2 separate regions of the Mus musculus genome follow, and region 2 is reported to be linked to region 1. Evidence: microRNA targets listed by miRTarBase, many of them from high-throughput screens and not tested one by one. Region 1 holds a microRNA gene; the other region holds the end of a gene's coding sequence.

Region 1 (5,176 bases):
TTTTCCTCATAGGTGACAATCTCACACACAAACACTTCCTGCTGCTGTCGTGCACGGGCACGAGCACGAGCGCGGGTGCGTGCACGAGCACGAGTACGTGCATTAGCACGGCTATTGGTTGGAAGCTGAAATAGAGAAAAAGAAAGAGAAATGGTAAAGGGAATATGAGTCAAGGGGAAATCTGGCCCAGAATTTCCTAGAAACTACATTTTCCACACCAGTTCTAGGTCCTCTGGGATTCCCACCATCACACCAGGTTTATTTCCTCTATAACCCCAGGGAACCTCTTATCACTTGGAAAGTTAGCCACCCACATGCCATAACCCTCGTATCTTCAGTCTACAGTTTTGCTTCCCATACCAACACCTGGTACTTACTTGGTAGACCTTTAGAGAAGCCTGTCGTTTAATATTATTGTAGGTCAGGAAGTTGAGCACAGCAAACTCTAGCAGAGTGCAGAAGCACAAGACGAAACAAATTGCAATATAGAAGTCCAAAGCCGTGAGATAGGAGACACGAGGGAAATTCTTACAGGACAAGGTACCCAGCGTGGCCATGGTGAGCACAGAACTGACCCCTATAAGAACAAAGAGTGAAGATGGGCTAAGCTTCTGACAGGACAACAGGAGAAGGCAAATACTTCCCTTGGTCAACGTTAATTTATGACATATGCCCATGTTTAATTAAGATCGCCATACTTTCTTACCTACAGAGGCCCTGGCAGCAGCAGCTTCTATCTTGATCCAGAAGGAGACCCAGGAGAGCATTGTGGTGACAGAAGAAGGAACATAATTTTGAAAGACAATGAAGCCAAACCGCCTGCTTACATTGAAGAAGAATGTCATGACCATGAAGTCACCTGAAAGACATCAAATATACCTCTGCATTGCAGTACTGGCCTGATGTCCAGAATGGCACATATATCATGGATCCCACTGTCCAGCTCGTGGGAAACCCTTCCAGAGTTCTAGAATAAAGGCACACTATTTCAGTGTAGCTCAGTAGAAGCTCAGAGAGGAGATTTACTGTAATACCCATGGCCAGTTGAGAGATAAGCCAGTACAAGAGTATTAATAAACCCACTTTCAGTTAACTGATTCACTCTCCCAAAATCTGTTTATCCCAGAGTAGTAGTAGTGAGAGGAAAGTTAAAAACAAAAACAAACAAATAAAAACCAACCCCATAACCTTTGCTTTCATGGTACCCTGACTTAATAGCTGATGGCTAGCTGAGACCTTCCAACCTATAGAAATGCAATGTATAGTTTGTGATATTACAGTATTATCTGCACTGCTAGCCCTCACAGCATGCCTACTTGGTTTAGCCAAATATGACATATTCTGCTATATATGAGCTACACAATAAAGTCTATACTATGCATTCTGATTCTAAGACCTAACTAGATTTGACTCATCTATATGCATACACACATGAATGCCTTACCCAAAACTAACTGAACTGCTTCCCAGTTTAGATAGCACATATATTTATCCTGGTAAGTAAATCCTCGACTGTTCTTAATCTATTACTCCTTAACATAAATTCAGTGTTGTAGGAAAACAGAAGAATAGATGAATATGATCTTTTCAGTAAAGCTTTAGATGTTACATCTGCAGAATATTCAGTCAGAAGGCAGTGTAGGCCGTCACATTCACTTGGGCATAATGATCTTCTCTTGAACTTACTCTAGATAGGAATGGATCTTCCAGAAGTTGGTCAAACTTGTATTTCCAGTTGCATATTCTGTTCCTAATGCTGCTCCTGATGCTCTTCATAATATTATGACTCCATGCTTAGTTTGCCCAGAGGAACACTTTTTCTCTCCATATGTCATTAGATATTAAATTGTCTTAACTACGGATTTTTCTGTGAAGCTAAGCCCTCAATTTCCAGTTCTGTGAAAAAACAGCCACCTGTGACTTTGAATTAGGTGGACCTTCAAGCTCCTTTCAGGAAGGGCTCATATAAAGCCTTCAGCTTAGCCCCTAACCAACCAAGCAATAGTGCTCAGTGACTTTTGAAACCCATGGTTAAAATAACCTTGGAAATCAGGCACAAACCCTGTGTACACTGTAGACTGTACAAAAAACAGCCCACCTGCCTGACCAGTCTGAGTGGGCAAGTACAGACTGAGAGCAACCCTTCCTCCTAGTGTTGGAAGACTTGACCTTGGAGGAACAAAGCTTCTTGGGTTCTTCAGAGAAAGGCAAGTAAATGGCTATGGTCAGTGGGAAAGTTCCTGCCTGAATAGTAGGATCTTTAACACTAGAATTCCTCTAGCACTGAACCAGGGACCATTTTATACTACTTGCCAGAATGACCAAATTATTAGTCCATCTGTCCTGGAGTCTTGACTGTGATTAAAAATTTTCTTAATATGTTTGTCACAAGATGTATAGTGCTGTTTTATTTCTCATCCTTTAAATTTATTCATTCTGATTAAAGAAGAAACTTTCTTATTTATTAAAAGCTAGAAATTTGACAAGAAAAGGATACTAACATGTATTTCCTTCATTCTAATGAGTGAAGAAACAATACCAATGGAAGAGACATATCTAGGACTGAAAGCCAAACCAAAACAAAATTGATTAAAGATGACTTTAGCTCTTACCTCTTTTTCCAGATCATAGTTGGGGGCTGCACTGCTAAAGACACAATTAAAAGACTGTCCAGAGGACTAGTGAACTGAAGGCAGTGAAGAACAAGAGAAGAAAAGGAACTGGGGAGAAGAGTCCCAATAGAATACAAGTGTGTGCTCCAACCCAAGAGCTTTACATTTGATTTTGGAAGAGTACCTTCAGTTAATGTAAGCCAGGTAGTTATAAGAGAAAAGAACTAGATCTGATGGGGAAATATTCCAGAAACTCCCATTTTAGATGAGAAAGAAGAATTTCCTAATGGGGGGAACTGTCTAGGGAAGAAAATAATCTTACAAGAAGACACTGACCTCTTGATCGTGGCAAGATTTCCTTAGAGGCTCAACAGCTATCAGTGAAGGATGATTAATTTACTACAGACAAGGCTGCACTTTCTGAAAAGCTCCTGAAGCAGAAACTCTGCTTTAAGGTCCAAGGTGGGCTAAGTTTCAGGGCACCACTGCATTCAAAACCCTGAAAATTGAGTACATGTATGTTCCAGCTAGGAAGAACTGCCCTGGTGTCAAACTGGGAGAGTTGGGACCTGACTCAAAAATAACTGACAGTGGAGACACTATGAATTCAGAATAAGTAGTTTCTAGTCAAAGGAAAAGACCTACTTCTTTCTCCACAGGAAGAGATGTTGCTTACCTACTGCCATTGCTTCACCGATGATGCTGGCTCTGGGGCTTTGTAGTCACTAGGGCACCATTTTGAAACAATGCACAAACCATCTACTAAACGGAACCACTAGTGACTTAAAAGCCCCCGGGCCTTGTCTCTTCTGCCAGTTCTGATGATGGGGCTCCACCTATCTGGACAAACTGAAGTACTAAGAGGCAGGCCCATAGTTGTCTAGTAGAAGAGCAAGAATTCCAAGCCAAAGCAAGCAAAGTGGCTTTCTCAGAGCCCCAGGAAAAGGAAAAGCAGCACCCATTCCCTGCCTAGTACTACGTAAGCAAAGCTTTAGTCAGATGAGCATAAGCTGTCCCTCACCCAGTGACCATCAGTAGCAATAGCAGGTTTTTTTTTTTTTTTATGTCATCATCACACAGACACAAAGCAAAATAAATGACAAAAGGCTGGCTGGGTGACCTGCTCCATCCACATTCTTGTCAGTACATGTGAAGAAGGTCCAGGGTTGCTCTCAGAGCTACCCTGGGAAGACTCCTTGGCTCCTCATTCAGATCACCTAGGAATATAAGCAAAGATGCTCACATCTGTTCAGGAGTTACAAGTTAAGAGACCCAGAATCTGCCCCTATTGTCCTTGTCAGGAACAAGATCAGAAAATTTTCAAAGATTATGTTGATTCCACTATGAAGCCTTTGGTGAAAATACATGCTTTTCAGAGTTGCTCCTTTAAGATAATGCTACTGTACCAGCCACTGCAGCTGAGTAATTACCTGCAGACTCTCCAACCCCCACTAGTTACCATTATGACTCCAGCTTCTTGTGTAAGAATCCAGTAACCTCTTTGTACCTTGCTGGTGTGTCACCCAACTTCCCTATTTTCTTCTGTATAAAAAGTTTGATGCTCAATTTGACAAATACATTCAGATCCAGCACACTCTCTCATGTCTGTGTCTGTCAATTCCCGCTGACTCTATGCCCATCTGTCCAAACCTCTGATTCCCACAGGTTGAGGGGGGCTGATTAGGCCCAGTCAGTGGCACACTTCTACCTCTTGCTTCTCACTCAACCAGCTTGACTTGATTCAGGGTTTGGAGAAATCACCCGAGTACCTGTCTCCAATGTTGTCTAAGTAAGTTAGTGATATAACAAAGACACTGAATACAAAGGATCTAAAACCCAGAGTTAGATGAACATTCTGAAGGTTACAAAAATATATATACTCACCCCATTCTTCAAGGGGCTTGGCAAAGCACTTACCTCTTTGCAGATGAGACTGAGACATAGTTATAAAGTCTCAGTTTCCTCTGCAAACAGTTGTAACTGCTTAGCATATATAAGAGAGGAGTGATGCCCTCAACAGTGTTTCCATGCCCTCTTTACACAGCATTTGGACAAATAGCCAATTCCAGTTACTGGTGCTCCTCCCTCAGACTCTGCCCAGCTCTAGCTCCCACTGACCACCTACCAAATGGGGTAGAGATGATTTCAGTTTTGTTGTTCACGCCTGTAAAATCAAATTCCAATAGCTTCCAAGTGTTCTTCGCATTGATTTCGAGCTTGAAATTCTCCCATTTGTAGATCATTTCACTGTCATCATAGGAAACTGGAAATCAAAGTGGGAAAGAGTGAATGAGACTGGGAAGCCAAGTTGAGGGCCCCACAAGCATGGTGTTAGCCTGAGCCATGTTTTGGACTTTTGACTTTGGCTTCACCAGCTTTGAGACCCTGCCTCTGACCTAGTTGTCAAAATGCATTCAATAAGTACATTTGCCCTGGGCTTCAAATGCAAAGTTGAGTAAGGTGTGAACCAGCATTCACATTTCACTGAGCAAGGCAATATCGAACTCTAAATCTTGGGGTTGCTCTGAATATTTCTACCCATGGAACAACTGGTAAAGTAGGGA
Region 2 (5,000 bases), not on the chromosome of region 1:
AATGACGTGTATGAGTGACGTCACTGTCAAACCAGCAAGACCGCATTGGTGCACCCTTCACATTCACTTCACTGGTGATCACACCCAGGGTTGTATATAATGGGGATGATGGATTCTTTTTCACACCAAGTATAGGCAGGCAAAAGGTGGCTTTTAGCCCAGGGTACGTGACATGGGCTTTTTAAAAACGTAGACCCATAGGCCTAATGAATCTTTCATACTTAGGTGGTTTTCTTGTAAAGCCATCACCAACAAAACAGACGTTAGTAACCGTTCTCTTCCATGCCCTCTTTTTCCTTTTTCCTGTTTGAATAACTTTCAATACTTCTGTTTCTCTTTGGGCACGAACTTTGGGAGAGGGACCTTCCATTTTCCCACCTTTCCTTTTTGTTTCTGCTTAATCCTGTTGGGAAGTACTTCTGCTCTGGACTGCCCCTCTCTGTCCAGCAGACAGGCGGGGACTGCTCCCTGTGGAGTCTTCCCATCATCCCTCTCTCTGCTTGGTGTTTCTCTTTTCATGCATCTTAATAGTTTTTTTTCACTTGTATTTTTTGGGCATGGCGCTGTTTTATGGTAAAGCTTTGCCTTCTTTGAATGCTCATGGGCCTCCCAACCTTTCTTTCTTTCTCTTTTTCTCATGGTAGTCCGAACGATATCCATATTGTTTGCGGTGCAATACAGTATATTCATTTTGTGGCATGATGACAGCCACTGAACAGCTGTCTGTGACCTCCCAGGTCCCAAAAAACTCTTTAATTTCTGGGTGTCACTGGTCCACGAGCCTGCCTCTATAGGTGATTTTTATATTTATAATGAAGTTGAATGCTTCTAGCTTTGAAACTTAACATTTATGTTGCCATGATAAATTTTTACAAATGTTTTAACAGAACTTAAGCATATTGGATTGGAGAATAACTTTAAATCACTAGACATGTTGTAAATTTTAAGATGAGGTACATTTTTTTCTAGAATAATTCTTTAGAATTAATGGTCCATGAATTTTCTAAGGTTTAATCAAGTCTTGAACTTTCAGGTTTTGTTAAGGCATAACACATAGGATCCATCATCCTTTAAAGATCTGCTTTCTGTACCAAATTCTAATGTATCTCTCTTTTTTCTTCTTCTTTTTTTCCCTCTTACCCAGTAGTTCACTACTGGGTTATCTCAAGCAAGCAAGCAAGCAAACAAACAAACAAAACCAAGTAGGCAGCAGGCACCTGTGAGCCAATAGAGTTCTCCCTGTAGCCTGCAGCCACAGAGCCCGAGGGCCAGCAGGCAGTGGATGAGAATTGTCAGAGAGCTTCTAGCCGTTCAGCTGAATTTCTACACACTGGGTCCTAACAAAGGCAAGGAGTCCCTCACCGTCTTAGCACTGACTCTAGAGTCTGAGTCTAGGCAGTAAAGCCCGTCACAGCTTTGGCTCCTTACTGCTAGCAGAAAGGTGATCTGTGGCTCCGCGCAGATCTTTGGGGTTTCTTCTCATCATCCTGGACACCCACAAATGTAGAACCAGAGGAAAAGGCAGCTACTTTATGTCAGAGAAGCCTTGACCTCCCCAGGTGACAATTCTGCTTTTCATGATTCCCCTTCTGTCAAGTACTGAAGACAACTTAGAGCAAAGTTTGGTTCCTGCCAGCTCTTTATTAGGGAGTGTCTGAAAATTACCATTTCACTGTGTGTGGGGGGTGTATGTTAGCATGAACACAATCTGAGAATCACATCTATGCTAACACCAATATATGTGAAGCAAGTATCTGTTAATGGGAGCGTATCCTACTGCTTGGGAATCACACATCCTCACACAAATGTCTGGTGCAGGTGCTCTTAGCATTCTCATGAGGCAAAGAACACAGTTAGTGCAATAAATGGTAAAATCATGATCTTATTATGTACTAAATTTGAATGTTTAATTTAGAAAAAAAGGAAATATGTAATTTAGTGACCACTTCTGTTATCATTTGTACCATAAAGTCAATGAGATATCACTGCAGTTTCTAAAATATTTTGTATAATTCTCAGATCTAAGTTTTAGAAGAACAAAGACTATGCTGATTTGAAGAGTCTTTTAGAGTACTGGTCACAGATTATTTAAAGTTTTTTTTTTAAAAAGGTGATTAATACTATACTTTTAGTGTATTACATTAGTCATGAAATAGATTTTAAGCTTTGATATATTAGTTGTAAAAATCAATGTCTAATATGCTTATGAATTCTGTTATTTGTACCTTTCAGAGGGGGCAAACTCCAAAGATAGGTTATGGTCATATTTTAGCTTTTTAGTTCCTCTGAGCCTCCCTCAGAAGGTGGAAGAAGAAAGCTCATTTTGTCATGTCCTGTCTAATTTAACTTACAAGTGTGTAGACTTTAGCGACGCTTCCTAAACTCAAAGCTTTGGCAGGACTGACCTGGCCACCTAGCTCTCAGGCTGCTTCTGAGCGGGCTCAGGGAGGGACCTCAAGGTTACGTCTAAATTGTAAGTAAGTGTTGGCTGGTGATGATACTGGCTTCTGCATCCACCAGGAGTTGGTGACACTGGGCACACCCTGAGGTCACCACAGTTCTTCAAGTTGAGCAAACTATTGACTAAACTTGGCCAAAATTCAAGTCTGCTGAAACATGTTCAAAGTTTATTCTTAAATAACTATGCAAAATAGCCCTCTAATACAGACTGCAAAATGAGAGAACTTGCAATTACACTTTTATTTTAAAACATACATTTTTTATGCCTGTCATCTTTACAATAATACATATTGAGATCTTATAAGATTTTAAATCATTGAAAATTTTACTATATACAAATAAAAACAAATATCTAAAATGTGGCAATATTTATCAAATCTATAAAAATATTTAATTTCCAGTATAAAAACACCAACTAAGCGAGGTAAGGCAAGACTGATTTTGACCATTTACGAAGGAAATGGATTTGTCATGGCTTTTTGTATGTGTGTGTGTGCTGAGGACTAAACCCAGGGTCCGAGGCATTCTACTGCTGTGCCTTCAGCTCTATTCTATTTTGTGACAAGGTCTCACTAAGGTGCCCAGGCTGGCCTTGAACTCACCCCATACTCTAAGCTGGTACTGACCTTGAAAACCTGTGCCTCAGCTCACGAGTAGTTGACTTTTTAGACCTGTCCCACAGTAAGCAAGATGAGAATGGTAAAGAGCCTGGCACCTGTGGTGGCACGCATGTCGTCACTGGCACCTGTGGTGGCACGCATGTTGTCACTGGCGACGCTGCAGCACTGTGAGAAGCTTCCTGGAGACAGCACAGAAAGCGGAGGCTGGCTAAACCAGCTTAGGGAAGAGGAAGGCCTAAAAGCCAAGCCAGCTGTGGAGGCATGCCTCTGTGGTCCCAACACTCCGGGGGAGTGGGGAGTGATCAAGAGTTCATGGTCACCCCGAGCTACAGAGATTCACAATGTGGTAAGAGGCTAGGGTGATAGCTCAGTTTGTGAAGCGTCTGCCATGTCAGCATAAGGACCCAAGTTCAACCCCCAGAGCCCACTTTAGAGAACTGGGGGTAGAGATGGAAGCTTGTGCTCCGGTCTTAGGAGAGAGAGGCAGGGGTGTGGGTCACTAGGATGTGGACTGCCAGGCAGACTAATTAAGGGCACCAGGTCACTGAGACCCTGTCTCAAAAACCAAAAACAAAAACAAGTCACGGTGGACAGCGCCTGAGGAATGATACCCAAGGCTGACCTCTGTCCTCCATGTGTACATGCACACGTGTGTGTGTGTGTGTGTGTGTGTGTGTGCGCGCGCGCGCACATCCTCACACACAAACCCAGAAAAAGGAAAACAAACAGAGTTCCTATCTAGCTCGTTTCACTGAAGACTGTTCCGACTCATTATCAACATCCCTTTATATTATTTATATTATCAACATCCCTTTAGCCCTTGAAAGTTCTTTGAGGTAGAGAACTGGCTCAGAGCCCTGCTAGGAACAGACAGTGAATGGCCAGAGCTAAGGCTGCTCTTGAGGGAGAGAAAAGAACTGTGGATTTCTTAAACCATGGGGTCCTGCCAGCTCTTGTTGCAGAGACCAAGCCACTCCTCATGCCACTGAGTGCTGATGTCGTCATCCTGGATTTTATCCCATAGGAAACAGGTTCTTTAATCAATTTAAACTTGACACGACAATTCAATGCAACTCAATACAACGTCATATAAATGCCAGCTAAATAACACTAAGATGGAAAAAAAAGATTTTCTTTAAAAACACTGAGAATATTCCAGATGTTTAGCTGTTTTATCTTGAAGTATCCTTGCAAAGAATTGACGGTTAGCTTTGCCCTTGGGGAAGAAAAACGTTAGGGGAATGAGTTGTTTTAAAGAGAAATGTGTCTCCACTTGATGACTGCCTTGAAGGAGCTTTTCCACCCAAAAGTGATGTCTCTGCTTCTTTTATCTCCATTGCCCTTTTGTACAGTTCAGCAGCCTTTTCAAAATTCCCTTCTTCATAGCTTTGAGAGGAAACAACATGAGAGATGCACTGCTATTAACAAGAAACTCTTGCTTCTAAGTAGCCATCAAGGTGCAGAAAAACAAGTTGCAACTCATTTGCCATTCCCACTGCACTCTTTTCTTTCTTTTTTTAAAAAAAATTTTATTAGATATTTTCTTCATTTACATTTCTTTTTTTCCAATATTTTATTAAGTAGTTACTTCATTTACATTTCAAATGCTATCCCAAAAGTCCCCCATACCCTCCCCCACCCCACCCCACCCCACTCCCCTACCCACCCACTTTCACTTCTTGGCCCTGGTGTTCCCCTGTATTTAAGAAAATACCTAATTAAAAAAAAATAATAAAAAAATGCTAAGTGTTGTTATCACCTGCATTCCGAGATGAACGCACAGGAGTGAGCAAAACTCAACACACACCTAACTCATCAGCTCTGAGGTTAGTACGTAGCCCTGTCACCCCATAGGCAGGAAGTGCTGGTATAGGCTGTCTTCACTACTGTCCACAGTACACGCCTCCAAAAAGTAAGCCT

The links. Region 1 holds the annotated microRNA mmu-miR-224-5p (UAAGUCACUAGUGGUUCCGUU, at 3,378-3,398, opposite strand). A microRNA usually pairs through its seed, bases 2 to 8, with sites in the 3' UTR of a target mRNA and lowers its output. Matches are read on the target gene's strand: a 7mer-m8 pairs with bases 2 to 8, a 7mer-A1 pairs with bases 2 to 7 and ends in A, and an 8mer does both.
Region 2: miRTarBase lists Nphp3 as a target of mmu-miR-224-5p. Seed matches in the 3' UTR shown: 7mer-m8 at 3,659-3,665.

Annotation. Positions count from the first base shown.
Region 1 is chrX:72,257,708-72,262,883 of GRCm38, forward strand. Mir224 (microRNA 224) reads right to left here and starts at 3,405; the gene lies at 3,324-3,405. It overlaps Gabre (gamma-aminobutyric acid (GABA) A receptor, subunit epsilon), which reads right to left. Exons shown (of 9, transcript NM_017369.2): 6 at 4,738-4,875; 7 at 707-859; 8 at 378-577; 9 at 1-125. Mir452 (microRNA 452) reads right to left here and starts at 4,601; the gene lies at 4,517-4,601.
Region 2 is chr9:104,041,418-104,046,417 of GRCm38, reverse strand. It overlaps Nphp3 (nephronophthisis 3 (adolescent)), which reads right to left. Exons shown (of 27, transcript NM_028721.3): 27 at 2,607-4,466. The coding sequence ends at 4,286. It also overlaps the pseudogene Gm18998. Among named protein-coding and RNA genes, the nearest start is that of Uba5, 19 kb to the left of the region's middle.